Linked DNA regions of Macaca mulatta. The protein of the gene in region 2 binds, or shares a complex with, the protein of the main gene of each other region. Links are inferred from orthologs where the notes say so. Each region holds a gene or a part of one and is shown on either strand. Other genes may lie near its edges. The genes, in order: ARPC5 and ARPC2.

Region 1 (15,761 bases), on a different chromosome or scaffold from region 2:
GCTAACACCAGAAAATCATGAGCAAATATATGGAGGTGTGAAACGATATGGTGCATTCAGGAAAAAGGCTGGCATTGCTATAGCCTGAGGGGAAGAATGACATGGAAGATGAAACCAGACTTGCGAACTTTGACTTTATCCCGCAGGTGACTGACAAGGGCAATTCTGATTTTAAAGAGATCATTCTGTTAGCTGGGTAGAGAACAGATTTGAGGGAGGCAAAACTGGTAGCTGGGAAACCAGTCAGGAAGCTATGGCAACAGACTGGGAGAGATGCTGTGAAGAGCTGCATTAGATACACTTGAACAGATAGATTTCAGAAATACTTAGAAGATTGGTAAAAACTGGTGACTGACATTTGGAAGAAATGAAGACTTCACACATGCCTCAGTTTCCTCAGCTACAAAAGAGGAATAATAGCAAACATTTCCCTCCGTTTTCATGAGGATTAAATGAGTTAATATTTATAAAGTCCTTGGAAGAGTATCTGGAATATAATAAGTGCTTAATCAATGTTCACTGCAATCTTGAGGCTATACTAGAACTAGGCTGCTTGGTTTTAAAGCTGGCTCTTCATCTGTAAATTGAGGATGATAAAGATATTTATGTATTTCATAGGGTTGTTGTAAAGATTAAACTAAAACATTAATAGTATGGTGCCTGGCAACAGAAAGTGTTCCATGAATAGGGTGCCATATAAATTACTATCCAAACTGGTACATTTTAGAGTAAAAGGGGGAACTATTTATAGTTATGATGGGACAACAAGCATAAATTGGGGCTATCCTGGGAAAACTGTGAGGAATGGTTACCCTATCCATAAATGTTAGTTCTTTTTGATAGTGTATGAGGGATAAAGTGACTTGACCAAGGCTAAACAACAAGTTTACTATGTACTTTTCTCTTATGTGTGTGTTTTCATTCGGATACACTTCAAACACTTAATATTTTTATGGCTGGTTCTATTTACATGTTATCCAGTTTTTTACCCAAAGCTCAAAATCCCTTGTACTCTTTTGACAGATGATGTACCAGCATCTACTTACATTGCAAAATATATGCATGAAAATAGAAAAAAATGATTTAAGAATTCTTGATCCTCCAAACCCCTAATTCTTTAAAAAAAAGTTGTAAAATATCTAACACAAAATTTGCCATTTTAACCATCTTTAAGCGTAAAATCCATTGGCATTAATTACATTTACAATGTATTGTAGCCATCACCACTATCTGTTTCCATAACTTTTTTACCACTCCAAGCAGGAACTCTGTACCCATTAAGCACTAACTCCCTATTCCTTACTTTTCCTACTTCCTGGTAACCTCTAAGGACTTTCTGTCCCTTTGTCTTTGCCTATCTTAGATTATTTTATATAAGTAAAATTATAAAATATTAGTTCTTTTGTATTTGGCTTATTTCACTTGGTATGTTTTCAAGGTTTACTCATGTTATAGTATGTGTCAGAATGTCATTCCTTTTTATGGTTGAATCATATTCCATTGTATGTATGTACTACAATTTACCTGTTCATCTGTTGATGATCCTTGTGTTGTTTTCACCCTTTGGTCACTGTGAAAGAATTCTTGATTTATACTGCTTATTTTCTTTTACAAAGTTTTGATTTAATTTAGAGTTCAAGATTATGTTTAATTACTAATAATCGTTGCTGAATAAACACAAGTGTTGGAATTAGAATCTCTTAAGACCAAGGCTAGTAAACATAAATATGAACTATCATTTTCATGCATTTTATTTGTAATAAAAAAATGTACAACCAAGTCAAAATGGTTATTCAGGTGAGAGAGGTCGTCACTGTCATCCCCTATTGTAAAAGAACCAGTTATGTAGATTTATAATTCATAATTTACCTTTTCATGCCATTGCAGTAACACAGCACTGCTATTGTCAGAGGGGCTCTCAAATCCTTTATAAATATACTTCATTAGGAGATCCACACCATTCTTGTCCAGAGATTGAACTGCCTTTTCAATATCATTAGCTTTAAAAGAGATGAGCACCTTCAAGACAATGCTGCCTGCCCGGTCCTGGTGAGTAAATAAATAACAGAACATTTAGACGTATCTGTATGAGGATGGTTTAGAATTTCAGAAAGGCCACACTAAGAAGGTGACATTTGAGTAAGGACCTGAAGGACGTGAAAGAGGAAGGCCTGGGATAACTGAGGAAAGTGTTTCAGACAGAGGAAAGAACACACTATTAGTGTGTGTTCAGTGTGTTCTAGGAATAGGAAAAAAACCCAATGTGGTTGGAGTGGACTGGTGGGAGAAAAGCAGGTGAGCAAGTCAGAGGTTATGGGAGGACAGATCGTGTAAGGCCTCCAGGCATTGTAAGGAGTTTGGCTTTTACTGAGAGAAATAAGAAGACATTGGAAGGTTTTAAGAGCAGTGCCATAATCTGACTCACATTTTAACAGGATCGCTTTGGCATCTACGTTACAGAGAATAAGCAGTGGGGGTAGGGGATAAGGCAGAAGCAGGGAGAGCAATTAGGAGGTAATTGCAGTAATACAGGCCGGATGTGGTGAGCACAGTAGCAGTGGAAGTGGTTAAAAACTAGACAGACTATTGACATAATTGAAGGCAGAGCCAAGAGGATTTGCTAACAGATCAATGTGATAATTTAACAATTTATTAAAACAACATTTAAATTTTATGTCTTGATCTTAAAAACAAAATTCCAACAAAACAGCCGGGTGTGGTGGCTCACAGCTGTAATCCCAGCACATCGAGAGGCCGAGATGGGCAGATCACCTGACGTCAGGAGTTCAAGACCAGCCTGGCCAAAATGGTAAAATCCTGTTTCTGCTAAAAATACAGAAATTATCCGGGCATAGTGGCAGGTGCCTGTGATCCCAGCTACTCGGGAGGCTGAGGCATGAGGATCGCTTAAATCCGGGAGGCGGAGAGTGCAGTGAGCAGAGATTGCGCCATTGCACTCCAACCTGGGCAACAGAGTGAGACTCCGTCTCAAAAAAAAAAAAAAAAAAAAAGAAACCCCACAAAACAAGGAAGCAGATTTGCATTTCTACCTTGAATTATTCTTCAGAAGTAATTTTTTCTTAAAAACTTTCTTTTAAAATTTTTAAACAAAGCTGTCTTAAAAGAAAATTGTAATTTATATGAATTGACTGTAGATACGAAATATAGTGATGTTCATTAATAATGATCTTTTTTCTTTAGCAAAAGCCTGCTTCAAAAGCAGTTATTTTCTTACCCATTCAAGCAAGCAAAGGGAACACTTAACTGACCTTTTCAACAATTCGTTTCTTCTTCCATTCAACACAAAGGGCTACCTCCAGCATTCCTACTGGTCAGGATTTCACACAATGTTTCTACTACCTATTGTTATCTTTGGTTTAAAGACTATGCAATCACCAGATTTAGAAAACATATCTTTGCATCCAGGGTAAAAATGAAATTTCAACGACATTCTTTACAACTTGTAAAAACCAAAGCAATTTTTCCCCGATAAAAAATTATGTTACCTAGATAATTATTACACATTTACCTAAGTTATTACTTACTACTACTCAATTGAGATTCTTGAAGCTCCTAGGATGTACGAATAGTTATGGACAATGAGGTTGATGCTATGGGCATCATTTTAAATAAATACTTAAATAGGCTAAGAACTACTAAAAGACTGCAGAGAATGTAAGTTGCACAACCATTCTGAAGGGCAATTTGGCAATACTACATGTACCAAAAGCCTTAAAAAAGTGCGTTCTTTGATCCAGTAATTCACTGCTAGCAATTTATTCAAAGAGAACAATTAAAAATTTACCAAAAAATATTCATTTCAGTGGTTCACAATAGGAAAAGTCAGTCTAAATATATAACAAAAGATTAGTTATGTATACACTGCAGCTTATCCATATACAACTGTTAAAAATGCTATAGAAATAAACTTATTACGAAGGAAATCTCTTGTACATTGCATACAGCCGAAAAAGCAGGTTATAAAATTTCATTCTTAAAAAACAAAAGGGAACTCTAACAATATAGCAAGGCCCCAAAGTAGTAACTGTTATCTCTGGGTAGTGGGACTATAAATGACTATCTTTTTAACCTTCCCATATGTCTGAGCTTTCTATAATAAATATTTAGTATTTGTACAGTTTTAAAAAATCTTTAAAAAGCAATTACAATCTGTTTATTTTTGTAAAGGTTTAACTTATTTTTCAAACCTTTGTTCAAATTCAGCCTGAGTGGTCTCCTCTAAAAACACACACAAATGATTTCACTATTTGAATTCACTGCATCTTACCATGCAGCATTATCATAACTACATTACAGGGCTATTTTTTCACGTGAAATTTTTACCTATCAAACTACATTATAAACTCTTCTATGTCAAAGTTAGCAAACGGTTAAAATATTGGTTTTTTTTTTTTTGCAACTGCAGAGGATTTTACTAAGAATAAGGTATCAGCAGAGATCACTGTGTTGTAGTCTGCGACTCACCTTCACTGCCTGACTCTTGGTGTTGATAGGGGGGTTCTTCAGAGCTGCCTGTAGGGCAGCTGTCATGTTTCCTGTGATGGAAGTTAAGGGTGTAGCAGCAAAGCATGGCCCCCAGGAAAGTATTATAACCACTGGTTCTGAAGACTTGCTTTATATATAAAAAGAAAATTACTGGTCACCATGTTCAATACTGGAAATTCAATGTGTTGGTTTCCAGGATGTTAATCAAGGGCAAGATATCAAAAGCAAAACAGAACATTAGACTTTCTTTTTAATAAAGCAAAGACTGTTTCACCCTTGGTTCTAACTATCAAATGAACACCTTGATAGTCTTTCATTGCCCAGTGAGATACATATGCAAACATTACCTAGAGTGGTGTTAAAGAAATCCTAGGCCGGGCGCGGTGGCTCAAGCCTGTAATCCCAGCACTTTGGGAGGCCGAGACCGGCGGATCACGAGGTCAGGAGATCGAGACCATCCTGGCGAACACGGTGAAACCCCGTCTCTACTAAAAAATACAAAAAACTAGCCGGGCGAAGTGGCGGGCGCCTGTAATCCCAGCTACTCGGGAGGCTGAGGCAGGAGAATGGCTAAACCCGGGAGGCGGAGCTTGCAGTAAGCTGAGATCCGGCCACTGCACTCCAGCCTGGGTGACAGAGCGAGACTCCCGTCTCAAAAAAAAAAAAAAAAAAAAAAAAAGAAATCCTAAAATATGTATCAGAATTATTAGTCCCCCAAATGAAATAACCTATTATCAACCAAAATATGTCTTTTCCTGTGATTCTAATTGAAAAAATAAAGACCAAACTTTTACTATATTCTATATTAACTGAAATGCTGGTAGAACATGCTGGCAGATTAGCAATCTCAATGATACACATTAGCAGTCTCTCAATATTGATGAAAAGAGGCATCACAGAAGATGTAATAATTCATATGTCCCTTAGGTGGCAGCTTAATTTTTTGCTTTAGATATTTTCTCTCATATTTCACAACGGTTATTCAAACTGTGTTAGACCATACCTATTAAATTCAGACTCTCTTTGAAAGCACTAGTGAGTTAGCAAGCATGAGAAACAGAAGGCCAATCAGACTGTCAGAATGTACCAGACATTCCCCTAAAAGGAAAACCACAGAGTTCACTTGTTCCTCCATCTCTAGTACCCCACCACTAGGGCTGTCTTTCCTGGCTGTATGTAAGGGTAAGAAAAGACAGTATCTTTTTATTTTAAGATGTACTGATCAAAAAGCGGATCCACTGATATGGACACAGCAGTCACCATAAATTACCTAAAATACATTGGGGTTTCATAAAACACCATCTATCCATCACAAATGTTTTTAGGAAGCATGTTCACCATTTATCTTCCGAAGAAAAAGTTCTCACACACACAAAATCTCTGGTTGACAAGCTGTTATTTTCAAGGCTGCAAGGATTTCTAGAGAAGCATGCCTCATGTGATTAGCTCATTTTGTATGACCCCAAGCACTTATTTAAATAATGCAAAAGAGCAACAGCTAATTAATTGTGAAAGTTGTGGCAATCAAAGGACTAGCTATATATTGATAAATGTCTAATGCTGTATTTAGGTGCCTTTAAAAAAGGATACTGTTGCCATTAAATATTTTCACTCACATTTTCCTCATATAACAGGACATTGAGTCTTCCTTATGAATACACCCAATAATTAGAAATGCATAAAAAGCCAGTGTTTGAGATTTTCTAAAACTATAGCTTCGGTTTTTTGCAACATTTACATTTTTCTAAAAAAGATGTAATGCAAATACGGAGTCAAAGTTATGAATATTCAAATATGCAAAAACAGAAACCGGGAACTGACAGCCATATTTTAACTAAAATGGAATCAATTTTAGGAATACAAAAAATTGTATTCATTCCCCTCCCCCGGTTAACAAATTCTGTGCAATGTATATTTTGTCAAATCCCCCCCTCCCTTTTTTTTCTTTTTTTAAAGGCCAATGGGCTGAAAGCATAGGGGACCTCAATTTTCAAACCGTACCATCTACCTTCTGCCCCCGGTAAGGAATAAACTATCTTAATGCTAGCAATAACAAAAACACAACAAAAAACAAAATCACTAAGGAAAGACGCAGGTTCCCCACAATCAGAAATTTCTGGAGCTAATGTGACTCCGGGAAATAGAGTTCTAGGAAGAAAAACTTAGGCGCTCGGCACCAGCCTTCCCCACCAGCCCGGGCCGCCTTCCCCAACGCCGCGAAGGCGCGGCCGGCGGGACCGGTTCCCGAGGCAGGCAGGCACTCGGGTGCAACCTGAGGAATCTGGGGGCGTGGAAGGCGCGCGGGGGAGGGCAGGCTTCCAAGAGTGGGACCCTCGCGTCTCCTGGCTCCTGAGTAGGAAACGGGGGCTTCCTCCTGCCCTCTCAGAGCGGGAGACCCCAAAGAGACAGGTTTAGCCGCAGGTAGACAGGGCAGCTCCGCGCCGGGGCCCCGCGGAACCTTCAGGCTCCCGGGTCTCTGGACAAGGGCGGGCTGGGCTGGGCTAGGGTGGGGAGGGCGGCGAATGCAAGGATATTGCCGTAGGCAGGAGTCCACCTCGCCCTCATCGGGCCCGGCCTGGCCGTCGCCCCCATCTTCTTCGTCCACGAACTTGTTCTCGTCATATTCATCCACGTCCACCTTCCGGAACCGGGCTGACGACACTGTGTTCTTCGACATCCCAATCCCTACCAGCGGCAAAGGCCTCTTCTTGGAGCTGCCTCTACCTCAGCAAGCCGAGCCCAGCAGCCCACTGCCCGGCGCCTGATTCACTTCCCTCTTCCGCTCTGGGGCGTCGCCGGCTGCCGTGGCTGGGACGGTTCTGGGCCTGCGCGCCAACCCTGCTGCTTCCTCCTCAGGTTCACGCTCTCCTGGCGCCTCCCACGCCGCCCCCACTCTTTCACGGAGAGCGCGCGCGGGGGAGGGAGGGCGCAGGACACAGCGCGCAGGCGCGGGCTCTCCGTAGGCAAGGGGCGGGGCTGGGCGAAGGAGGAGGGGGCGAGAGGGAGGGCCGAAACCTGGATCGCGGGCGGAGGTAAGAAACGATTGGTCGTCCGAGTGCGTCACGTGATTCCCAGGGGGTTCCCATAGAAACGCTTTTCTGCGGTCCAGTCTAGGGGGTCTGAGGTTGTCGGTGATGGGCAGCAGCGGCAGGTGGCATTGACTTTTGCTGCAGCCGTCAACGACCTGTCATCCGGGTCCTGCGTAAGGTCCGACTGGCTGGGACTTGGATGTGGGTGGGATGGACTTGGCTGCCGGACCGAGTGCCCTGCAGTTGGCAGGAGTATGAGGCGGAGTGATGCACACCCGGGCGCCCAGCATCGTTCTAATTGCCGGAGACGTTACCTCGGACTGTGCGCTGCTAGGGGCTGCGTTCCTGAGCGGGAAGCCCGTTTCCTGGGGTTGGAACTACCCTACTTGGCCAGCGGGAGGTCCCCAAGGACGGAGTCGAAAGGTCAAATCTTATCTGTCAGTGCTGTGTGACAGCATCACGACGGGATCTGCAGAACCTGAACTCGGTATCAAATCTACTGGGAGGGAGGGGAATGTGTCCGGGCAGGCGCTGGGGTCGGTTGGCAAAACTGGGGTGAATTTGTAGAATTTGGGAAAGGGTCATTGACATCTTAAAATAGGTGGTTGTTTGGAGCAAGAATGCTGAAAAGGGGTGAGGGTAGGTTAGGCTCTCTAGTGCTGGGGGAAAACAAAATGGGTAAGGATTGGTGGAAACCAGACCTTTAAGATTTATATTATGATTTAAGATTTATATGATTCCATCTAGGCCAGATTTTAAAAAAAATATTTGACATCCCCATTTCCGGAATGTAGGAGATAAAGGCACTAAGACGAAGGAAATGGTAGTTGTGCTGTGTGTATTACACTGAAGAACAAATATTTGCAGGATAAAATTAATTTGGACATTTGGCTGGACATTGCTCAGGTATGGGTCTAGTTTAGTTGGACCTCGAACAGAAGACTGGCTGTTGTCCTGTTGTGTGCCACAATCTTTGGTTTCCAGTGCTGTGTTGAAAAGAGCACTGGGCTTATAATCAGAAAACTCAGGCTTAAGTCTTGACTCTTCCGCTCATAATGTTTGAACGAGACATGTCACTTGAAATTCTGTCTCAGATTCCTCATCACCGAAATGGAGCTAATAATGTGCACTTTACAAGATTGTTCTTAGGATTAAATATCACGAAAGTGTTTCCAAGCTCTAAAATTCTACATAAATGTAAAATGCATGTTACTTGTACCATTGGTTTTGGGACTAGTCTTATAAATTGCTTAATAATATATGGTGTTTTATCTTGTTCCTGGAAGAGATGGAAAGATTCTGAAGGGCAGAGACAGTTTTTCTTTTGTATCTTCCTTCCATCCGACAAAAAACTAAGCATGCAGAAGGGACTCGATGCGTGCTTGATGAATGAATGAAAAATGAAAGACTGTACAGTTTGAGAATCATACTGAGAATAACAGAAGAGGGAGAGAGATCTCAAAATTAAATATTTGTTGGCTATATACGTGTAAATACATACATCCAGTCTTCTTTAAGTTCAAAAAAATACATATATATGTGTGTGTATTTATCTATGCAGTATATTATATATAAATAGAGAGTGGGAGAGAGACCTCGAGAATGGAATACATCCCTTTTTCTTGGGAAGAAGCAATGTGGCGTTTTTCTGTTCCCAATTAAACCACTCTTCTATAAGTATATCATTTAGGTGATAGAAGTAACATTGCTTTAAATTAACATTCAAGTTATGAACACACACACTGGTAAAAATTATCTTAGGACTGTCTTAAGACAGCAAAGGAAAAAATTTTACCTGTTGGTAATATTTATTTTAAAAAACCATATACCGAAGTATAAAATCATTGCTATGGTGAATGGCATTATGTAACTTAGAATAGAGATTTTACAATTTTTTTTCAGTTTGTCTTTGCTAACTTTAGTAGATGTTAATCAGTACACTTTAGCTGTTAAAGGTGATTGTACTTTTTCTTCTTTTAAATCAGTATTTTTCTTTGAAGAGAAAATCGAACAATAGAGGCACTATTGAGAGCAAATGGAAACAAGGATAGATTCAAGAGCTAATACATCTCTTCTCTTACATTTCTATTCTTTTGTATTGCCTTATTTAGGAAATTTTTTATTTTCTTATTTGAGAACTATGAAAGAATCCCAGAGTAGAAATCAGCTTAAGGGAATAGTGAGAGGAATTTAAATAATCGATTGCTCAAGGGTATAATTATTTTGATTGCTCAGAATTTTGCTCTATATGTTTAATGTGTTAAATATAATTAATTGCCAGCCAAATAATGCTTATGGCATTTAACATGTGAAAAATGTCTTTTCTAATGCAGTAAATTTTATTGTCTCACAATGATCCAAGTGCCTAGTACATACTAGGTACTCAACGTGTTTCTAGCCAATGATTTAAGGATCTGACAACTTAATTTTGGACTAACATTCAGAGATTGAGTATTTTTTAATGGGCACATAAATTACTTCTCCACCTTATTAGCTAGTTATATCTTTATAAAGCTTTAGGGAAATTTTTGTGTGTATGTGGAGAAATCTGTCCTTAATTATCTTTTAATTAGAAAGCTCATTATTTCACTTCCTTGCAAATTCTAAATTTTTAATGTTTATCATGATACTTCATTCATCTTAGGTAATATTATTTTCCTTTTAATTTTTCAAATGAGTGCTTACCCTGATATAAAAGGTTTATAAGGTTTTAAGACATTTTACTTGTTGTGCAAATAACCTAGTTTGATTCAATACCGAAGCAGGACTGAATCTGAATTTTCTCAAGGTTAATGCTGTATATGTAGTTCCTTATTTTCTGTGATGATGCAAACAGCCAAGGATCTTTTCAGTTAGAAGGGACTTTAATAAGGCTATAATAGGTCTTTCTTTTCAGACATTTTAAACCAAGGATTCTAACATATGCTTCTCTTCCCCAAACTTGCCACTAAATACTTAAACAACAAATAAAGACATTGAATCCTGGCTGGGTGCGGTGGCTCTTGCCTGTAATCCCAGAACTTTGGGAAGCCAAGGCGGGCAGATCACTTGAGGTGAGAAGTTCAAGACCAGCCTGGCCAACATGGGGAAACCCTGTCTCTACTAAAAATACAAAAAATTAGCCGGGGGTGGTGGTGCGCACCTGTAGTCCCAGTTACTTGGGAGGGTGAGGTGGGAGAGTTGCTCGAATCCGGGAGGCGGAGGTGGCAGTGAGCTGAGATCATGCCATTGCACTCCAGCCTGGGTGACAGAGTGAGACACTTCATCTCAAAAAAAAAAAAAAGATATTGAATCCTGCAACGTGACATTATTTATTTTTATTATTTGAAATAGAAGTGCAAAATCAATGCTAATCAAATATGTAAAATGTATTATAAATATAAATAAGCGAATTTCAGTTCTGGTAAGGATGCTTTAATACCAGGGTTCTCTGGCAACATAATATATATAAATATACATAATAAATAAAAATATAAAAATATTTTTAGCATGTTGTGCATAGATTATCTTATGATTTAATGCTCCTATGAATATCTGCATCAACTGGTTATGTGTTAAATTTTAAAACACGAACCTTCAAAATTTCATTTTTTCTTTGTTTCGAGTTTTTTCTTTATATAATTTTATGATTACACATTAAAGTGGAGTAGATAGGGTGAACTCTCTACTCAAACTTGTCAACTAAAAACCTGTAAGCTAAAGAAAAAAAAAAAATCTCTAAATACATTGAATTTATTTGGGAATTAGAAAGGAGGATTATAACCTGAGATGCATAGCTGTGGCAAGCTACATATGCATCAAAGAAGGGAGGATAAAGGGAAACTTTTTAAAATTTTATTTATTTATTTACTTATTTATTTGAGACGGAGTCTCGCTCTGTCGCCAGGCTGGTGTGCAGTGGCACAATCTCGGCTCACTGCAACCTCTGACTCCCTGGTTCAAGTGATTCTCCTGCCTCAGCCTCCAAAGTAGCTGGGATTACAGGCGCACGCCACCACGCCCAGCTAGTTTTTATATTTTTAGTAGGACGAGGTTTCTGCCTGTTGGCCAGGATGGTCTTGATCTCCTGACCTTGTGATCCGCCCGCCTTGGGCTCCCAAAGTACTGGGATTACAGGGGTGAGCCACCGCGCCTGGCCAAAGGGAAACTTTTATTTGGCAAAAGGAGAAGTTCACATAAGATGGTTGGAAACAGATACTGGTTTTGGATACTCAAAGTCAGACTTGGCGACATTTTAGAGGAGGAGATGCTATTACTGGGCAGGTGTTGTTTTGAGAGCATTTTATCTGAATTGCTGCAGTCCTACAGAATTTCTTATTTTAGAAAGTCCTTGAGACAAGACTTCCAAAAATGTCTTTTATCTCGTCCATGCAATCATGAACCCTACTCCTTTGTGCTCTCCTGGCTCTAGTTTGTGTTTGACAAAAAGTGATTTCATCCTGGTATCTGCAACTTTCATAAACCTTTATTCATATATTAGTACTTCAAAGATTAAAAAAAATTGTAAATCTGTACTCTTGCCTCAGGAAGAAGATTTAGTGCCAAAGAATAAGTCTTATTTTTAAAGTATTGTGAATGAGACTTTTTCATTTGATTTTTTTAACGGCTTATGATATAAAATGAAAGCTATGGACTTTAAAACATATTTATCCTGTATTCTTTCTTAGCATGGGGGTATTTTATTAATGCTAACAGTTGTTTTAAGGTTGCATCTCTTATCACACTGTATAATATTTGAGGTAATGATAATTTACATCTTCTTTTCCAATATTTCTGTCACTTATTTTATCTTATTATATATGCTAGAATGTTGAAAAGAGTGTTGAAAAATTGAGTGCTGGGCTCTTCTGCTTTGTTCCTGTCTCAATGGAAATGTCTTTGGTATTTCACCAGTTGACATATTTACTTTTGCTTTATGACTTTTAGAAATGACTGCTAAAATTATCAAATGCCTTTTATGGGGATCTAATCATAAAAATCGTATAGTTTCTATCTTTGAATTTATGAGTGTAGTGAATATATATATTTTTCTACACTGAAAAATTCCCATGTTTCTACAATAAACTCTATTTGGTTGTGAAATATTACCATTTTAATTACTTGCTGGATTTGATTAGTTTATATTTTGTTTGTGTGGTTTCAGAATTTTTTTAAAAAAGTTCAGACAGGATCACACTCTGTTGCCTAGGCTGGAGGGCAGCGGTGTGATCTTGGCTCACTGCAGCCTCGACCTCCCAGGCTCAAGCCATCCTCCCACCTCAGCCTACCGAGTAGCTGAGACCACAGGAGCACACCACTACCCCTAGCTAATTTTTGTATTTTTTTGTAGAGATGGGGTTTTGCCATGTTGTCCAGGCTGGTCTTGAACTCCTGAGCACAAGTAATCTGCCAGCCTCGGCCTCTCACAGTGCTAGGATTATAGATGTGAGGCACTGCGTGCTGCCTTTAAAAATTTTGTTCTGTAGATGCAGTGTCTCCCTATGTTGCCCAGGCTGGTCTTCAACTCCTGGCCTCAAGCAATTCTCTAGCCTTGGTCTCCCAAGTGATGAGATTACAGGCATGAGCCACCCCACCATGCCTGTTCATAATTTCTGTTTTTAAGTAAGATGGATCCATAATTTTATTTATTTGTGCTATCTTTATCCAGTTTTGATATTAGTGTTAGCCTAACTTTGTAGACGAATTTAGATTTCCACCTTTTTTTCCCTACACTCTGCAATAGTTTAAATGATGAGAAATTATCATGCTATTTGGTCTTTGAAAGTTATAGTGTGTGCTGCAAAACTACCTGGGCTTGCTGATATTTTTAGAGGTAGATCTTCGATCATTCTTATCTTCTATGATTATTGATTTGTTTGATTTTTCTTTCTATTATTAAATAAATTTTAGAATTTATGTGTTTCTAGAAAATAATGCATCTCATCTAGATTGCCAATTTATTGGCAAGAAGTTGCACAAAATATTTTCTTATAATTGTTTTAGTATATGCCATGACCATGGACTTTTTTCTTTTCTCATTACCACTATTAACTCTTTAAGCAAAACATTGAAATCAACTTTTTGTTCCCCAACCTGATTGTCACAAATTCTAGTAACATATCTTTACTTCTTTTTTTTTTTTTTTTTTTTTTTTTTTGAGACAGAGTCTCCCCCTGTCCCAGGCTGGAGTGCAGTGGTGCGATCTCGGCTCACTGCAAGCTCTGCCTCCCTGGTTCACGCCATTCTTCTGCCTCAGCCTCCCCAGTAGCTGGGACTACAGGCACCTGCCACCACACCTGGCTGATTTTTAAAATATTTTTAGTAGAAACGGGGTTTCACCGTGTTAGCCAGGATGGTCTGGATCGCCTGACCTCGTGACCCGCCTGCCTCGGCCTCCCAAAGTGCTGGGATTACAAGCGAGAGCCACCGTGCCTGACCTATCTTTACTTCTTAAAGAAAATAGGAAGTCAACTATCTAAGACTCATAGTTTTGATAATATTTGAAAGATCCTGCAATCCTTATAATTTCCTACTCTTTATCCTTATCCTGTTCATATTTTATTAATAATAGTAACCACTTAATAAGTTTATTGTGTGTCAGACACTTGGTAAATAAACCCTTTACTTGCATTATTTAATCCCCAGAGTAGCTCTATGGCCTAGAAATTAGTGTTCCCATTTTATGAATGAGTAAACTAAAACTCAGAGAGGTTATGTAATTTGGCCAATGATATTCAATCAGCAGGTGGCAGAATGATGTGGCAAATTATAATAATTTGGAATTACTTTTTTCTAAAAATAAGTATATAGCCAAGTATCAAAGGTCTAAACAAACCCATATAAGAGCTTGAAATGAACTGTAAATTGTGAACCTAAAAAAACCGTGTTATTTTAATGATTTTTAAAAGGATATTCGTTTTTTAGATATTACTGTGAGCTTTCCTTACCTTATCTCTGTATTTTGAGACTAGACATAGAGCCCGATTTCTTTTTCTTTTTCTTTTTCTTTTTTTTTTTTTTTTTGGAGACGGAGTTTCTCTCTTGTTGCCCAGGCTGGAGTGCAATGGCATGATCTCCTGCTCACCGCAACCTCCGCCTGCTGGGTTCAAGCAATTCTCCTGCCTCAGTCTCCTGAGCAGCTGGGATTACAGGCCACCACACCCAGCTAATTTTATGTTTTTAGTAGAGATGGGGTTTCTCCTAAAGGTTAGGGTGGTCTCAAATTCCCAACCTCAGGTGATCTGCCCTCCTCGGCCTCCCAAAGTGCTGAGATTACAGGTGTGAGCCACTGTGCCCGGCGACATAGAGCCTGATTTCTAATATTTAGTCTAACAGAAAAGATGTCACTTTTTTTGTATTTAGAGAGATCAGTAGGTGTCAACTAGTAATTCAATTTTTTAAAAAGATTATGATAAAATAGATAAAACAAAGTCATTATCTTAACCATTTTGAAGTGTATAATTAAGTAGTACTAAGCACATTGTTGTACAGCTATTACCAACATCCATCTCCAGACCTCTTTTCATCTTACAAAACTAATTCTGTACCCATTAAACAATAACTCCCTGTTCCCTGCTCCCCAGCCCCCGGCAACCACCATTTTCTACTTACCACATGTAAGTGGAATCATGTGGTGTTTGCCTATTTTTGACTGGTTTATTTAACTTGGCATAATGTCCTCAAGGTTCATCCATGTTGTGGCACGTGAATAGATTTCCTTCCTTTTTAAAGCCGAATAATACTCCATTGTATGTATATACCACATCTTGGGTATTCATTCATCTGTCAATGGACACTTGGTTTGGTTCTACCTTTTGGCTATTGTGAGTAATACTGCTATAAACATGGGTGTAGAAATATCTCTTTGAGGTCCTGTTTTATAAAAAAAATTACTTCACTTTTTAAAAATAGATTCAGAGTCTTGCTATGTTGCCCAGGCTGGTCTTGAACTCCTGGACTAAAATGATCCTCCCACCTCAGCCTCCCAAAGTGCTGGGATTACAGGCATGAACTGCCGTGCTTGGCCAAGACCTTGTTTTTTATACCCAGAAGTAGAATTGCCTGATGATATGTTAATTCTCTTTTTAATTTTTTGAGGAACCATTTACACTTAACTAGACAATGCAGTAAAACAGTGTTCCATTGCCTTGGGTCCCAGATTTAGTACATCCCTGAAAGTCAGGGACATCTAAGACAAGATAATCTTGGGATTTATGTTTGGCATGAGGTCCTGGGCAACAGGGGAGT
Region 2 (15,183 bases):
AAGAAACAAAAACCAAAAACAACAAACCTCCCCCCGCCGCCCAGAAATGGCAGTGCTTTTAGCAACCCCCAGTAGGGGGCAGCATTGCTTGAACTCAAAATCGCCATCAGAGTAGACCCAGGTTCCGGTTGAGCACCCATCAGTACTACTCCAAATGAGGGTAACTTAATGGCAAACAACTCCAAGTAACGGCTCCCCCCAAGAAGGCTGAGGCAGCAGCTAGAGCTATTTCCTTTTCTTGGTTTCAATTCCTCCTCCAAGTCCACCCTTCCACTTCCTGTTAGTCTTAGTGTCTTTCCTGCCAAGCTCCTAATTTTTGGCTTGCAGCTTGCCCCAGGTCCCACTTTTTCCAGACATGGAGATTCCTACCTGCCTTGCCCGGGCAGTAAGGGCCATTCAAGCAGGGGAAAATACCAAAATACCAACGACCTTGGGGAAAGCCTAGGAAACCCCAAGCACCGAATGAGGGTTGGCTTCTGCGGGACTTTGCTGGGGCAGCAGCCTGTCGCTTCTGATCCCCTTGGGTGTATAAAGGGAACCAAGATTCATTAAGTGACATTGTAATTACAGGCATCATAATGCTTACCATGTAAGAGACATTTATTCTTTTCCTTTTACAAATCCTCGGGTAAATGTCCAATTTAAATGAGGTTACCAGAGCTCAGATTAAGAGATTTGCTGTCACACAGCTATTGGATGGCGGAACCTGGATTCAAACTGTTCTTCTACAGCCCATATCCAAATATACCTGCACCTCCCAGGTGTGAACCCTTGGGGCACTGGCTTCCTGAGACTAGGAAGAAACAACTAGATCCCCTTTTCCCAGCCCACACTCTCAGTGTGCTTGACCTTCATCCTCAGACGTTCTTCCTGCGGTCCTAAGGCCTCAACTGGTGACAGTGGGCTGCTTCATCTGTGAGGAGGGTCTTTGAGGCTAGATCCGTACTAACACCAAGTGTGTCCTTGTTAAGAGTCAATCTGGACAGGGGTTTACACCAGTATGGATTTTTTTTTTCTGAGACCGGGTCTCACTCTGTTGCCCAGGGTGGAGTGGAGAGGCACACACAGCTCATTACAGGCTTGACCTTCAGGGCTCAAGCAATCCTCCTGCCTCAGCCTCGAGTAGCTGGGACCACAGGCATGCACCACCACATCCAGCCAATTTTTATTTTTTGTAGAGGCAGGGTCTCGCCATGTTGTCCAGGCTGCACTACAGATTTATTTATTGGTGAGATTATTTATTGGAGAGTTCAGCTCTTGTCGCCCAAGCTGGAGTGCAATGGCATGATCTTGGCTCAATGCAACCTCCGCCTCCTGGGTTCAAGTGATTCTCCTGTCTCCGCCTCCAGAGTAGCTGGGATTACAAGCACCCGCCACCATGCCCAGCTAATATTTGTATTTTTAGTAGAGATGGGGTTGCACCGTGTTGGCCAGGCTGGTCTCAACCTGACCTCAGGTGATTCAGCCGCCTTGGCCTCCCAAAGTGCTGGGATTACAGGTGTGAGCCACCACGCCCGGCCAGATTAAGTTTTTTTATAGAGATGGAGAAGGAGTCTCACTGTTACCCAGGCTGGTCTTGAACTCCTGGGCTCAAGCAGTCTTCCTTCCTCATCCTCACAAAGTGCTACAATTACAGGTGTAAACCACTGTGCTCAGCCTGCACTATGGATTTTTAATGTTGACAAAGCGTCTTGGAACTAGTTACTTCCTTAGGATCTACTGCTGTAGAAAATATTTATGCCTTTTCATTTTTCTCCGAACTCCATATCTTCTAAGCAATCTTGGTTCTGCCATCTACAGTACCTACCAGAAACTGGATTCCTGCTACTGGCAAGAGAGTACAGTGAGCTCCAACATTAGTTATGTTCTACTAAGGAAGAAAGCAAAACCTCAGCTGGACACGGTGGCAGGTGCCTATGGTCCCAGCTACTCCGGAGGCCAGGAGCTTGAGTACAGCCTCAGCAACACAGTGAGACCCTGTCTCTAAAAACTAAAATTAAAATAAAAAAAGAGCAAAAACTGCTTCTAGTCAAAATTACACCTGACAACCCCTTAAATAACTCATGAGGTAGAGAATGCACACGTTGCTGTCAATATATCCAATTAATCTAGGTTTTCCAAGTACCAGAAGTGGTCAGGGGCACCCTGAGCAGCCAATTAGAACTATCAGAGTACCCTGAGCTCTCTAGCAGCCCATTTTAGTGAAATAAAAACGAAGTCTGATGACTGAACGACCTGTGGTTTTCAAAATTCTCCACTGTGACTCACAGTCAAAAGACATTTCTATAATCCAGTCATGATGTGCATATGTAACTAATATACATTTCCAAACCAACACTTACCCTTAATAGATGCGATGCACTCTGATACTATTCAATTGCTTAAAAATGCTGGTGTCACATAAAGCTACACATATGACAACAATGCACAGATGTACACCACATACAGTGCGGCAAATCTGAAGAAGGTGGGTGGACTATACCAATGACCTTTTCTTGGCTGTGATGCTACACAACAATTATACAAGATGTTAGCATGGCGGGGAAACCAAGTGGAAGGTATACAGGATCTCTCTGTATTGTTTCTTACAACCGTATTTAAATCTAGTTATCTCAAAATCAAAAGTTTAGAAAACAAAAATGCTGGTTGTGATATAGTCAGGTTATGTCACAATTAATGGGTCCCAAGCCAGTATGAAACACACTGCCATAGATGGAAGGCAGAAACCATTAGAATGACCATCAGACCATTGCAGATGCCCTTAAAATTCTCTTAATTCCTTACTCCAAGCAAACTTTCTGAAGCAATTTCATTTCAAGGACCAGAGTCCTGCTGAGGGACAGCTGCTCGACTAGGCTCTGTACTGTTTTTGACAACTTCTCTCCCTGAAAGCAGTCTTTTGGGCTGCCATGTGAGAAAGACAAACTGTGGCCAGTTAGTTTGCATCAGACATACACCTGAATAACCATCAATGCCCTGCAGGACCACACACTAAGGAACACATTTTGGGAAATCCCACACATTATTCACAATAAAAAAACCAGAAAACCGTTTGTCTGTCACTGTCCAGGGAGCTTCAGGAACAGCCACAGAGTCTCAGGGACCAAGCTTTACAAGGAAGCATGTAAGTTTGTATTAATAGCTCGGGTTCCATGGCTCATGCCTATAATCCCAGCACTTTGAGAGGCTGAAGCAAGCAGATTGCCTGAGTCCAGGAGTTTGAGACCAGCCTGGGAAAGATGGCGAAACCTCATCTCTACTAAAAATATAAAAAATTAGCCAGGCATAGTGGTATGCGCCTGTAATCCCAGCTACTTGGGAGGCTGAGGTGGGAGGATCACCTGAGCCCAGGAGGCAACAAGACCCTGTCTCCCAGTCGGGAGGGGAGGAGTTTAAATATAGTTCACTGGCCAGCCATTCTCTCCTCTAGATGAAGTGAGGACCTAAACCTGATGGGCTCCTGAAACTAGGGCTTCCCAGCTTAGGTTTGCAGGTTCAAGGGCAGTATAGGTCTATCCTTCTTCCTTCCTTCTCTTCTCACGTTGGACCCGCAGTCCAGAAACCCAGTAAATTCTCATGTAAGATAGAAAGATTTTCTTTATTAATGACCCCAACCGTATTTCTTTAGATACAGGAGTTTTGAACTCAAATACTTAGGAGAAAACAAGTTAAGATTGCATTATCCTGCAACTCATTACCAGTAACATATTGCAAAGCGAAACAGCTTGGAAAAGAGGGTAGGAGAAAAGGGAAGTGAGGGAGGGAAGATAAAGAAAAGGAATTAAGTTGATCAAGTGGAAATTTTTTTTTTTTTTTTTTTTTTTTAATTCTTGGGAACTATGAAGTCTTTGCAAGCACAGCTCGTTTCTGCAGATTATTTTCCAAACGTGTACAAAATGGAACCAAAACGGAGAATCCCTTAAGAACCTGAAGAGGTGCAACATTAAAAGCTACGATTATCCAGTAGCAAGTGTTCCAGACTTCAGTTGCCAGCCGCTTCCTCCTCTTATTCCCAAGATTAGCGGGATGAAAACGTCTTCCCCCTTCAAAAGGAGAGATAAGTGCGAAGGTCAGTTTCTGGCTGCCCTTTCCTCCCACCCCACACTCCTAGACTAGATGGGATCCCAAAGAAACACCAAATGAAAGGTGGAAAGGGCTAGATTCCTTAAGCAGAGGCACTGGAACCACAGGACATGGGCTAAAATCTGGCTTTCACAGAACGGTTTCACCAGCTCTTCCTTCCTATCGGATACTTCGGATGCCCAGGAATATCAGTGTTAAGCCCATAAGGACATTCAATGTACCAAGTTAGATAGAAGAATCACTTGTCCATAATTTTTGGATGGCCTAGATGTACCTGAATTTCTGACTAGGCTCAACCATCGTCTTAGTACTACCTCATTTGTCAGCTCCTCCTACACAGCGTATACCTCTCAGGGTTCCCAGATAGCAGTTCCTTCATCTCTCACCATGAAGGCAGGTGGCTGGTTCAAAGCAATCCTCAGAACTTCCAAGGCTAAAGGTATTTCTGCTATCACGTGGTAACTCCTCCTCTGGCTTATACAACACCCGCCTGGTTCGAGGCTCCTGAATTGTGGTGTCCTGTTCCACCCAATACTTCTCCAGACGGGATAGGTGGTCCTCAAGGACAGAGCCTCTAACTGGTACCTAACAGCATCTGGGAAAGCAGCCTGGAAGCTAGAGCTGAGAACTATGGGAAATCAGGGCAAAAACACGGGCTCTACATTTTCCCTGCCTTAGATGTATCACTCATTCCAAAATGAAGCTACACCTTATTATCCTTCTCTCCAAATGAAAAGCTCATGAGTGTTCAATTCTGGGCAGCCCATCGAGAGTTCCTGGCTTCTGCCCACAGCTGAGTCACTTAACTCCTACCCACCATTAGTAACATAATCTGGTTTTCAGGGTGGATGTAGCTGTTTGTCTCCTGCTTCTCCTTTCTGGGGCCCAACTCTGCCAAAGAGAAGCTGCAGCACAGAAGAAGGCAAAGTTGCTCTTTCTAAGTCCCAGAGAGGAGACTTATATACAGTCTGTTCATTTCAAGGATTCATCCTTTCCTGGGTCTCTCACCAGGACAGGAAGCTATCCCTGCCCGCTACACAACTGCACTCACTGGGCAGGGACTCCCAAGACTGCCTGCTGGCTGTGGAATCGGGCAGCAGCTGCCTGAAAGGCCTTCCTCCTGGATGCACAAGCAGCTACCAGTGCCAAAGGTGATGCCGGCAGCCCCGAGACTATTATGATGCCCAGCCTTCCAGTCCAGTTATCACAGGCTGCCAGGTCAGGCTTCCCTCTCACTGTACCTTGCTGCCAGTTTACCTCTTGGCTTCTACTGAACTGCCTGTCTACTGGGCCCTGAAAGCAGCATGAAATTCTCTGCCTCACACTCCAGGTCACCAAACAAGTACCTGATGAGAAAAGCACTCCTGCGTAGAGCAAGCAGGGAAAGGGGAAAATGCAGACACCAGGATGGAGACCAGGTTCTGGAGGAGCAGCAAGAGCACATCCTCTCACCTGCCCACCCACCTTGTTGGTTACTTTGCCCATTTAAGGATCTGCCCAAGAAGCTGCAGAAAAGAAACGATGCTGCTATTTCATTGCATGGCATTTGGACACTCTTCTCTGAACTGCTACAGAGACAGGCCTTTACCTAAAGAAGTCGGGGTGACTTAAACTGCTTTTTTTTTTTTTTTTTTTGAGACCGAGTTTCGCTCCTGTTGCCCAGGCTGGAGTGCAATGGTGCGATCTCAGTCGCCGCAACCTCTGCCTCCTGGGTTCAAGCGATTCTCCTGCCTCAGCCTCCAGAGTAGCTGGGATTACAGGCATGCACCACTATGCCCAGCTAATTTTGTATTTTTAGTAGAGATGGGGTTTCTCCGTGTTGGTCAGGCTGGTCTCCAACTCCTGACCTCGGGTAATCCGCCCGCCTCGGCCTCCCAAAGTGCTGGGATTACAAGGGTGAGCCACCACACCCTGCCTTAAACTGCATTTTGAGAATGTCTGAAAACCCTCACCTACTGCTCAGGTCCTTGGATCTCTTTCTCATCCTTTCAAATGGCAGCAGAAACTAACTTGGTAGAAGAGCCCTCAAATGCAAGAGAGAGAGTGTAAAGCCCTAGGCATACCACACCCACTAAAACTTTGCCTCAAGAGTACTGAGTGCTGGGCCAGGTGCGGTGGCTGATGTCTGTTATTCCAACACTTTGGGAGGCTGAAGTGGGAGGATCACTTGAGTCCAGGAGTTCGAGACCAGCCTGGACAACATGGTGAAATCCTGTCTCCACAAAAATTAAAAAAGTAGCCAGCTGTGATGGTGCACGCCTGTGGTCCCAGCTACTTGGGGGGCTGAGGTGGGAGGATTGCTTGAGCCCAGGAGGATGAGCCTGCAGTGAGGCAAGACTGCACCACTGCACTCCAGGCTGGGAATCACAGAGTACTGGGCTAGGCGCGGTGGCTCACGCTTGTAATCCCAACCCTTTGGGAAGCTGAGGTGGGCGGATCACGAGGTCAGGAGTTCAAGACCAGCCTGGCCAAAATGGTGAAACCCTGACTCTACTAAAAATACAAATAAATTAGCCAGGCTTAGTGGCGCAAGCCTGTAGTCCCAGCTGCTGTGGAGGCTGAGGCAAGAGAATTTGCTTGAATCCAGGAGGCAGAGGTTGTAGTAAGCTAAGATTGTGCCTCTGCACTCCAGCCTGTGCTCCAAGAGCGAAACTCCATCTCAAAAAACAACAAAACAACAAAACAAACACCAATAGTACTGGGGTGCTGGCAAATACACTGGCTGTTAGGGAGGCTTATGATCTCAAGACTTTTAGTTCAACTGGTACAAAACACAGCAGATGGGAGGCCGAGGTGGGCGGATTGACTGAGATCACGAGTTTGAGACCAGCCCAGGCAACATGGTGAAACCCCATCTCCACTAAAATACAAAAAATTAGCCGGGCGTGGCGGCGTGCACCTGTAGTCCCAGCTACCTGGGAGGTGGAGGTTACAGTGAGCTGAGATTGCGCCACTACACTCCAGCCTGGGCGACGGAATGAGACTCTGTCTCCCCCAACTCCCCCCACCAAAAAAACAACAAACAAAACAAAAAAACAGCAGATGAACACTATTACCTTATCTTAAGGACAGGATTGCCTGAATTTCATCAGAAGAAGAACCAAGGTCTGGACTACACTACAGCCTGGGCGACAGAATGAGACTTTGTCTCCCCCAACTACCCCCACCAAACAAACGAACAAACAAACGAACAAAACAAAAAAACAGCAGATGAACACCATTACTGTATCTTAAGGACAGGACTGCCTGAATTTCATCAGAAGTAGAACCAAGGTCTGGACTACACTACAGCCTGGGCGACAGAATGAGACTTTGTCTCCCCCAACTACCCCCACCAAACAAACGAACAAACAAACGAACAAAACAAAAAAACAGCAGATGAACACCATTACTGTATCTTAAGGACAGGACTGCCTGAATTTCATCAGAAGAACCAAGGTCTGGCACCTTTCACAGAGATGGAACTCTCTAGGCTCTAGGCCATGCTCGTCTTTCCTGCATGCAGAGCCACACCCCTATTTAGGGCTCTCCTCAAAAAAAAAAAAAAAAAAAATTTTTTTTTTTTTTTTTTTTTTTTTGAGACGAAGTCTCACTGTTGCTCAGGCTGGCGTGCAGTGGCACAATCTCAGCTCATTGCAACCTCTGTCTCCTGGGCTCAAGCAATTCTCTGCCTCAGCCTCCCGAGTAGCTGGGATTACAGGCGCCTGCCACCACGACCGGCTAATTTTTTTTGTATTTTTAGTAAAGATGTGGTTTCACCATCTTGGCCAGGCTAGGCCTGAACTCCTGACCTCGTGATCCACCTGCCTCAGCCTCCCAAAGTGCTGGAATTACAGGCGTGAGCCACTGTGCCCATCAGGGCTCTCCTCAATTCTATCCTTGATAAAGAGAACTTTCCTCTGCATGCAAACTTCCCGCTGAGAGTACACCAGGGAAAGAACGCTTAGTGGGCGGCGTCAGGACTATTTACCCAAGTAAAGGTCCCTAAGCAACTTCTTCCATCTCTCCAGAAAGAACACCAGAAGCACAAGACTGACCTCGTAACTCAGGCCCAAAAACAACAGTCTCTTGGTAAACTTTGTTTATTTCCTAGCTGCCATTCTCAGAGTTCACAAAGATATGGAAACAAGGAAACCCATCTGGGCCTATACAGCACTGAAAACCTGGAATCCCACCTTTGTTTTATCTACTTAGCCCTGCTGGCCTCACATGTAGCCAGTGCCCAGACACATGGAGGACCAGGCCACCAGCACCCACTGCTTCCTTCTCGGTGACTCAGGAGAGGAAGGTGGTCCTGCTGGAGTGCTGCCTAACTTACGTGATTGTTTTCATTTCTTTTTTCTCAGCATCTGGGCGTGCGCGGTTCAGCACCTTGAGGAAGTCAGATGTTTTTGCCCGCATACGTGTGTGAATATAGGCCTGGGAACAAACATAACAGGTACTGAAGCACAGTCACGGTCTAGAAAGACAGCTTTGCTTTCATCAGAGGCGTTTGGGAACATACACCCTGGGACTGACCCAGGCCCTGCAGCAAAGCAGGAAGGTGAGCAATTCTGGAAACAAATATTCATCTCTGCTACGGGGAGGGGTGGGGGACAGTGGCTTGATGAAGAAAGACCATGGTTTCTTGAAGCCTCTAGAATTATCTACCTAAGAGTCAATATCCACAGCCTAGACTAACAGAATGACTTTTTGTCATGAGTTCTGGTGGAGGAAAAGACCCAGAGCATAGCGGCTGAGATGCTGGCACCCCCCTCACCTTAGAGCACTTGATGTGGTAGTGCAGGTAGTCCCGGAATGTGTGGATCAGGTTGATGGTGTTGTCTCGAGCGCTGGCATTGGTGTGACGAGGGAACAGCACTGAAGGTGGAAGACACAAGGTGTTAGGACCCAACACGAATGCCAAAGGGTGGGGAAGAACAACAGCCTAGTGAACTTCACTCCCTCTCTGCTGAAGTACCCTCCACTTGTGTCAATATTACCAGGCTTTGTCAGGGTTTTTTCTTGACATGGAAGGATAAACAGCATGGCCAGGAAAGGTGTCAATGAGCGTGAACGGAGGAGCCCATGATGAAAAACAGGGCTTGACGCTAGGCCTTCATTCTAGTCCTGGATTCTGCAGCTGTGCATTTTGAAATCTATTCCCTGTCTGCCACACATGTACTAGCTCCTGCCTGTGCAGCTGGGCACACTCCAGAATCACACTCCAGGATTACACTAACTGGCTATAACAGTTTACCTTAAGGAATCAGGATTAGGAAATGCAGCTGCCTGTCTTAGGTCCTTGGTGCTGAAATAGAGTAAACCTTCCCAGAACACAGATGCCAGAGAATTTCCCATATTCTCACTGTGAAAACAGACAATAAGGTATAAGGACCTGAACCCTCATGATAGGCCAGGCAAGAGGAGCTGCTCTGACTGGGCCTGACTGAAGTCCAACCCTGTGGCACCAGCCACCTAAAGACCTGTGTGAGGTCGGGCACGGTGGCTCACGCCTGTAATCCCAGCACTTTGGGAGGCTGAGGTGGGCGGATCATCTGAGATCAGGAGTTCGAGACCAGCCTGGGCAACATGGTGAAACCCCATCTCTACTAAAAATATAAAAATTAGCCACATGTGATGGCATGTGCCTGTATAATCTCAGCTACTTGGGAGGCTATGACTCTAAGTCTGCCATAATTTTATATACCACAAGAGAAAAATGCTGCCAATTAAACTATGACATGCCATGAATTGTAAGACGCACCCAGCTTCAAAGATAAAAACTTGAAAAAAATGGTATAGCTGGCTGGGTGCGGTGGCACATGCCTGTAATCCCAGCACTTTGGGAGACTGAAGTGGGTGGATTGCTTGAGGCCAGGAGTTGAGATCAGCCTGGCCAATAGGGAAACCCTGTTTTGTTTTGTTTTGTTTTTGAGACGGAGTATTGCTCTGTCGCACAGGCTGGAGTGCAGTGGCGTGATCTCGGCTCATTGCAAGCTCCGCCTCCCAGGTTCACACCATTCTCCTGTCTCAGCCTCCCAAGTAGCTGGGACTACAGGTGCCTGCCACCACGCCTGGCTAAGTTTTTGTATTTTTAGTAGAGACGGGGTTTCACTGTGTTAGCCAGGATGGTCTCGATCTCCTGATCTCGTGATCTGCCCGCCTCGGCCTCCCAAAGTGCTGGGATTACTGGCGTGAGCCACCACACCCGGCCGGAAACCCCGTTTCTACTAAAAATACAAACGTTAGCTGGGTGTGGTGGCATGCGCCTGTAGTCCCAGCTACTCGGGAAGCTGAGGCACGAGAATTGTTTGAGCCTGGGAAGCGGAGGTTGCAGTGAGCCGAGATCACACCACTGCACTCCAGTCTGGGTGACAGAGAGAAAGAAAAAAGAAAAAAGTGTATTGTTTAGATTTAATGAAATTTGGTAAATCAACAGATTCATCACCAATAAACAGGCTCACCTTTACCACTGAGGTGAATTAAATTACATTTCACAAAGGAGACATTCCAGTGGCATCGGGTGCAGTGTGAATGAGCTGTTAATTCCAAACTGTAAGCTATCCTAATCAGCCAGTGCATGAGGCTGGAGCAACTGAAGGAAGACCTGAATTTACTCCATGGAAAAGTGGAGTAAGTGGACCATGGCTGGAGCTTGGGCTTAATAAGCAAAAAACCAAGAATTGCCAAATGACAGAGAACCACCATCTAGCTGCTTAGGTGGTTTCTCTTCTTAACTCCTTTTTCTGATAAGACAGGGTCTCACTCTGTCACCCAGGCTGGAGTGTAGTGGTGCCATCACAGCTCACTGCAGCCTCGACCTCCTGGGTTCAAGTGATCCTCCCACCTCAGCCTCTCAAGTAGCTATGACTATAGTCATGCAACACCACGTCTAGCTATCTTTTTTTTTTTTGAGACAGTCTCCCAGGCTGTAGCACAGCAGGACGATCTCAGCTTGCTGCAACCTCCACCTCCCAGGTTTACGCAATTCTCATGCCTCACCTGGTCAAGTAGCTGGGACTATAGGCACATGCCACCATGTCCAACTAATTTTTTTATTTTTAGTAGAGATGTGGTTCACTATGTTGGCCAGGTTGGTCTTGAACTCCTGACCTCAAGTGATCTGCTCGCCTTGGCCTCCCAAAGTGCTGCGATTACAGGTGTGAGCCACTGTGCCTGGCCCCTGGCTTTTTGTAGAGATGAGGTTGCGCCATGCTATCCAGGCTGGTCCCAAACTCTTGGACTCAAGCGACGCAACAACCTCGGGCTCCCAGAGTGCTGGGATTACAGGCATGAGCCACTGTGCCTGGCCTATCCTTAACTTTTTTTCTTTTTGAGACAAGGTCTCACTCTGTCATCCAGGCTGGAGTGCAATGGTGTGATCTTGGCTCACTGAAACCTCTGCCTCCTGGGTTCAAGGGATTCTTGTGCCTCAGCCTCCCGACTAGCTGGGATTACAGGCACATGCCACCACGCCCAGCTAATTTTTTTTTGTGGTTTTTTTTTTTTTTGGTAGAGACGGAGTTTCACCATGTTGGCCGGGCTGGTCTCGAACTCCTGACCTCAGGTGATCTGCCCACAGTGTTAGGATTATAGGCGTAAGACACTGTACCCAGCCTCCTTAACTCTTTTTTTTTTTTTGGAGACTGAGTCTTGCTCTGTTGCCAGGATGGAGTGCAGTGGTGCGATCTCAGCTCACTGCAACCTCCGCCTCCCCGGTTCAAGCAATTCTCCTGCCTTAGCCTCCCAAGTAGCTGGGACTACAGGCGTGTGCCACCATGCCCAGCTAATTTTTTTTTTTTGTATTTTAGTAGAGACAGAGTTTCACCATCTTGGCCAGGATGGTCTCGATCTCCTGACCTTGTGATTTGCCTGCCTTGGCTTCCCAAAGTGCTGGGATTACAGCCATGAGCCACCATGCCTGGCCAAAACTGTACTTGTACTCCTTCAAGCTGGAATCAAACCACTGACCTAAGGACATCTCCTACTGAGGAAGTAGCTACAGTCCTCCGCTCTACCAGCTGAGCTATCGAAGGGACCTTAACTCTTGATATCAGAATTCAGTCTTATTTTTAAGATTTAAGAAAAACGGGGAAAAAATGAAATGATTACTGTACAAAAATAGCATATGGCATGCTCTGTGATTAATACCCTGTGACATCCCTCCTTTAGTCACAGCAATGGCAACAGGAACAACTTGGTACGCCTGCTTTTGCCTACCTTAAAATGTTAACCAAGGTTCTGTGCAGATTTAGGTATTCTGTGTGAACTCATTAAAGCGGCATGCAAGCAGCAAGTGCACCCTGCTCACCAAAGGTGATGTAGCCAATGTTGTCACCCACAGCGGCGTCCGTGTCTTTCAGCTCCAGAGGAGGTTCCCTGTGGCTAAAGAGGACCTGTGGGGCTGTGTGGCTGGCTCTGCGTCCTTCTTTGAACTCCTGCCAAGACAAAGCAAAAGCAACCAGAAGAGAAGTGGGTGTAAGATGAGTGGCAACTCAAGCTATGGGGTTTGTTCTATGCGGTGTGACCTTTGTAGCCCTCCAGAGCAGCAGGAGGTTACAAATAAACTACACCAAACCTGAAATATTACAAGTGCTAGCTGCTGCCACTGTACTTCAGATTCAAAAGGAAGAGACTTCAAAGTAATAAGTCAGATCTTCAAAATGTGATGAAAAGTAGTGATAATCCTTTTCCCTTGGACCAACATAGGTGATAAACTACCATACTTTCTCTAGGCTCTGGGACTTTGCATGAGTCTTTTTTCACTGAGGATCCTGTTGCTATTTAGAATTCATCAATAAAATCTTTAGAGCAAACTTAAGCTCTTCTTGGGGACAGAAGACAATGGAATGAAAGAACCTGAGCTGTCTTGGTGCTCATAAAGGAAGCCCTTCCTTCTATGTTTCAATCTCCAAACCTGAAGCTTCTATAGTCCATGCATTCCTATGTAAATAGACAAGTAATACAAGACTTCCTTCTCTCAGCCACATCTGCAAGAACAGAAGTAGATTTTCTAGCAATGCCAGTAAAACTGGATGATCCAAATTCATCAAGCGGGCCTTCGACGATGATAGATAGCAGGAGGATGCAGCCAAGGACTCTCCAAGGTCTCTTGTTTTAGGAGTTCTGAAGGCATGGTTACAGTCATGTGGCCTGCAGTGCCCTTCTACTGCTGCTCCAATACCACCTCCTAACACCATCTCCAACAAACCCAGGCAGGTACTGCTCTCTTGCTGGAGCTGCCATGTCTTTTCTACAAACCTCTACTATGACATTTTACTATTCATTAATGCATCTGGTCCCCCAACACGTTATGAGTTCAAATCAAAGATCCTGCTTAATTTATCTTTGTAATTTATTCCTCTGTCCTTCAAAGAGGCTATGCAGCATATGCCTTGCTGAGAGAATGCAAGTGCTTCTATCCGAGCTGGTTTAGTATCATCACACTGTACAGGAATAGGCAAGGGCTGTTTTCAGTTGCAGGCAGGAAGAATACACACTGATGAGCAAACCCTCTCAGCAATTAGTGGCAAAGGAAAGATGATGGCTGAGGAGCCGCAATGCCTGGCCTGGGACCTCACCTATTTCACAAACTGCCTCTCATGCTAATACTACCAAGCTTTAAGTAGGAAAAGAAATGACCATAAGCTGGGTTAGATTAGTCCCCTTTTGAACAGATTTTCTGCCCGAAAGGAAAAATATCTGCAAAGGAAGGGAAGGAGTCAAGATTATCCCAAATGGAAATTTCTAGAGCAAAGCTTCTACAATCACCCTTCTCTAGAAAACATTTTTTATTCTACAAAGGGGTTAAGAAGCTTTTTAACTTCTACTGGTTTTACTTTTCAGTCTTAAGGAATTAAACAGAACAGATATGTAACTGCTGGCATTTTCTTGTGTTTATTAAGTATCTCTAAGGCTCCAATTCACAGGTACATGTGGTATTCACAATGAGATGGGGTATTTATAAACCAGTGGTGACTTATTAGCACTCATTAGTTTTGTATATGGAAAATAATATATTTAAGACTCGGTCAACAATCTGTTTCTGGTTTGGGCCTACTCTTTCTTTTTTGAGACAGGGTTTCACTCTATCACCCAGGCTAGAGTGCAGTGGCACGATCCTGGCTCACTGCAACCTCCACCTCCCGGGTTCAAGCAATTTTCATGTCTCGGCCTCACGAGTAGCTGAGATTACAGGCGTGTGCCACCATCCCCGGCTAATTTTTGGCTGGACTATTCTTTAGATTATCTGACGTCTTTGCTTCTCCTCGGTTCTCTCTCCCAAATAAAACTTTAAAACAAACACACCCAAACAGTCCTCCATCTTCACCGGCATCTTTGTTACATGTAATTCAGCAATATTGTCTTTTTACTCTCCTGGCTAGGACGTCTTTTGAGCATCAGACTATTTCTCTCTTCCAAACTACTATTTATCATAGGAAGTTCAGAATAAATTCAAATATATACAAGGAATTTAGCATACGATAAAGGTAGCATCTTAAATCAGGGGTGTAAACATGGAAATAATTGCTACTGGAACCACTGGATAGCCATTTAGAAAAAAAAATAGATTATTCTTTCATACCATATACCAAGAGGAGGTCTCAACAAATAAAAAATCATGTATAAAATATGTAACTGTAAAAATACCCAGAAAATAACAGGTAAATTTCCTTATAACCTTGGAGAAGGGAAGGGTTTTCTACCCCTTTACTCAAAATCTGGAAGCCATAAAAGGCAAGAATGATTAACGTGATTATGCAAAAACAAACTTCCACATGGGGGAAAAAACCCCACAAACCAAGGTCCAATGACAAATGGGAGAAAATATTTCAACTCTTAATCACAGATGAAAGGGTACTCTCCCTAGTATATAAAGAAATTGAGAAGCTCAATAACCCCACAGAACAATGGGTAAAGGCATAAAGAGACACTTCATAAGAAAATCAAATGGTCTACGATGTAAGAAAAGATGTTCTGACCTCATTCATAAGTGAACAGAGACATCACTTTCAACCTATCAGATCAGGAGAAACCCAAAAGCTGACAACATACTCTGGGAAAACAGACACTTCTATCCATCACTGGTGGATGATAAAATGCTACTACTCTGATGGA

The links.
Region 1: ARPC2 (region 2) and ARPC5 share a complex: the UniProt entries of both Homo sapiens proteins name them as parts of the arp2/3 complex. The link is inferred for Macaca mulatta from reciprocal best matches to the Homo sapiens genes ARPC2 and ARPC5.

What each region holds. Positions count from the first base shown.
Region 1 is NC_133406.1:41,103,794-41,119,554, forward strand, and holds the start of ARPC5 (actin-related protein 2/3 complex subunit 5), read right to left. Parts: upstream 7,328-15,761; 5' UTR 7,184-7,327; coding exon 7,040-7,183; exon of another isoform or gene 6,097-7,039; intron 4,558-6,096; coding exon 4,486-4,557; intron 2,047-4,485; coding exon 1,870-2,046; intron 1-1,869. UniProt on the Homo sapiens protein: Component of the Arp2/3 complex, a multiprotein complex that mediates actin polymerization upon stimulation by nucleation-promoting factor (NPF).
Region 2 is NC_133417.1:123,455,766-123,470,948, reverse strand, and holds the end of ARPC2 (actin-related protein 2/3 complex subunit 2), read right to left. Parts: intron 12,504-15,183; coding exon 12,377-12,503; intron 10,557-12,376; exon of another isoform or gene 10,442-10,556; intron 10,047-10,441; exon of another isoform or gene 9,984-10,046; intron 8,944-9,983; coding exon 8,843-8,943; intron 8,503-8,842; coding exon 8,402-8,502; intron 4,044-8,401; coding exon 4,019-4,043; 3' UTR 3,830-4,018; downstream 1-3,829. UniProt on the Homo sapiens protein: Actin-binding component of the Arp2/3 complex, a multiprotein complex that mediates actin polymerization upon stimulation by nucleation-promoting factor (NPF).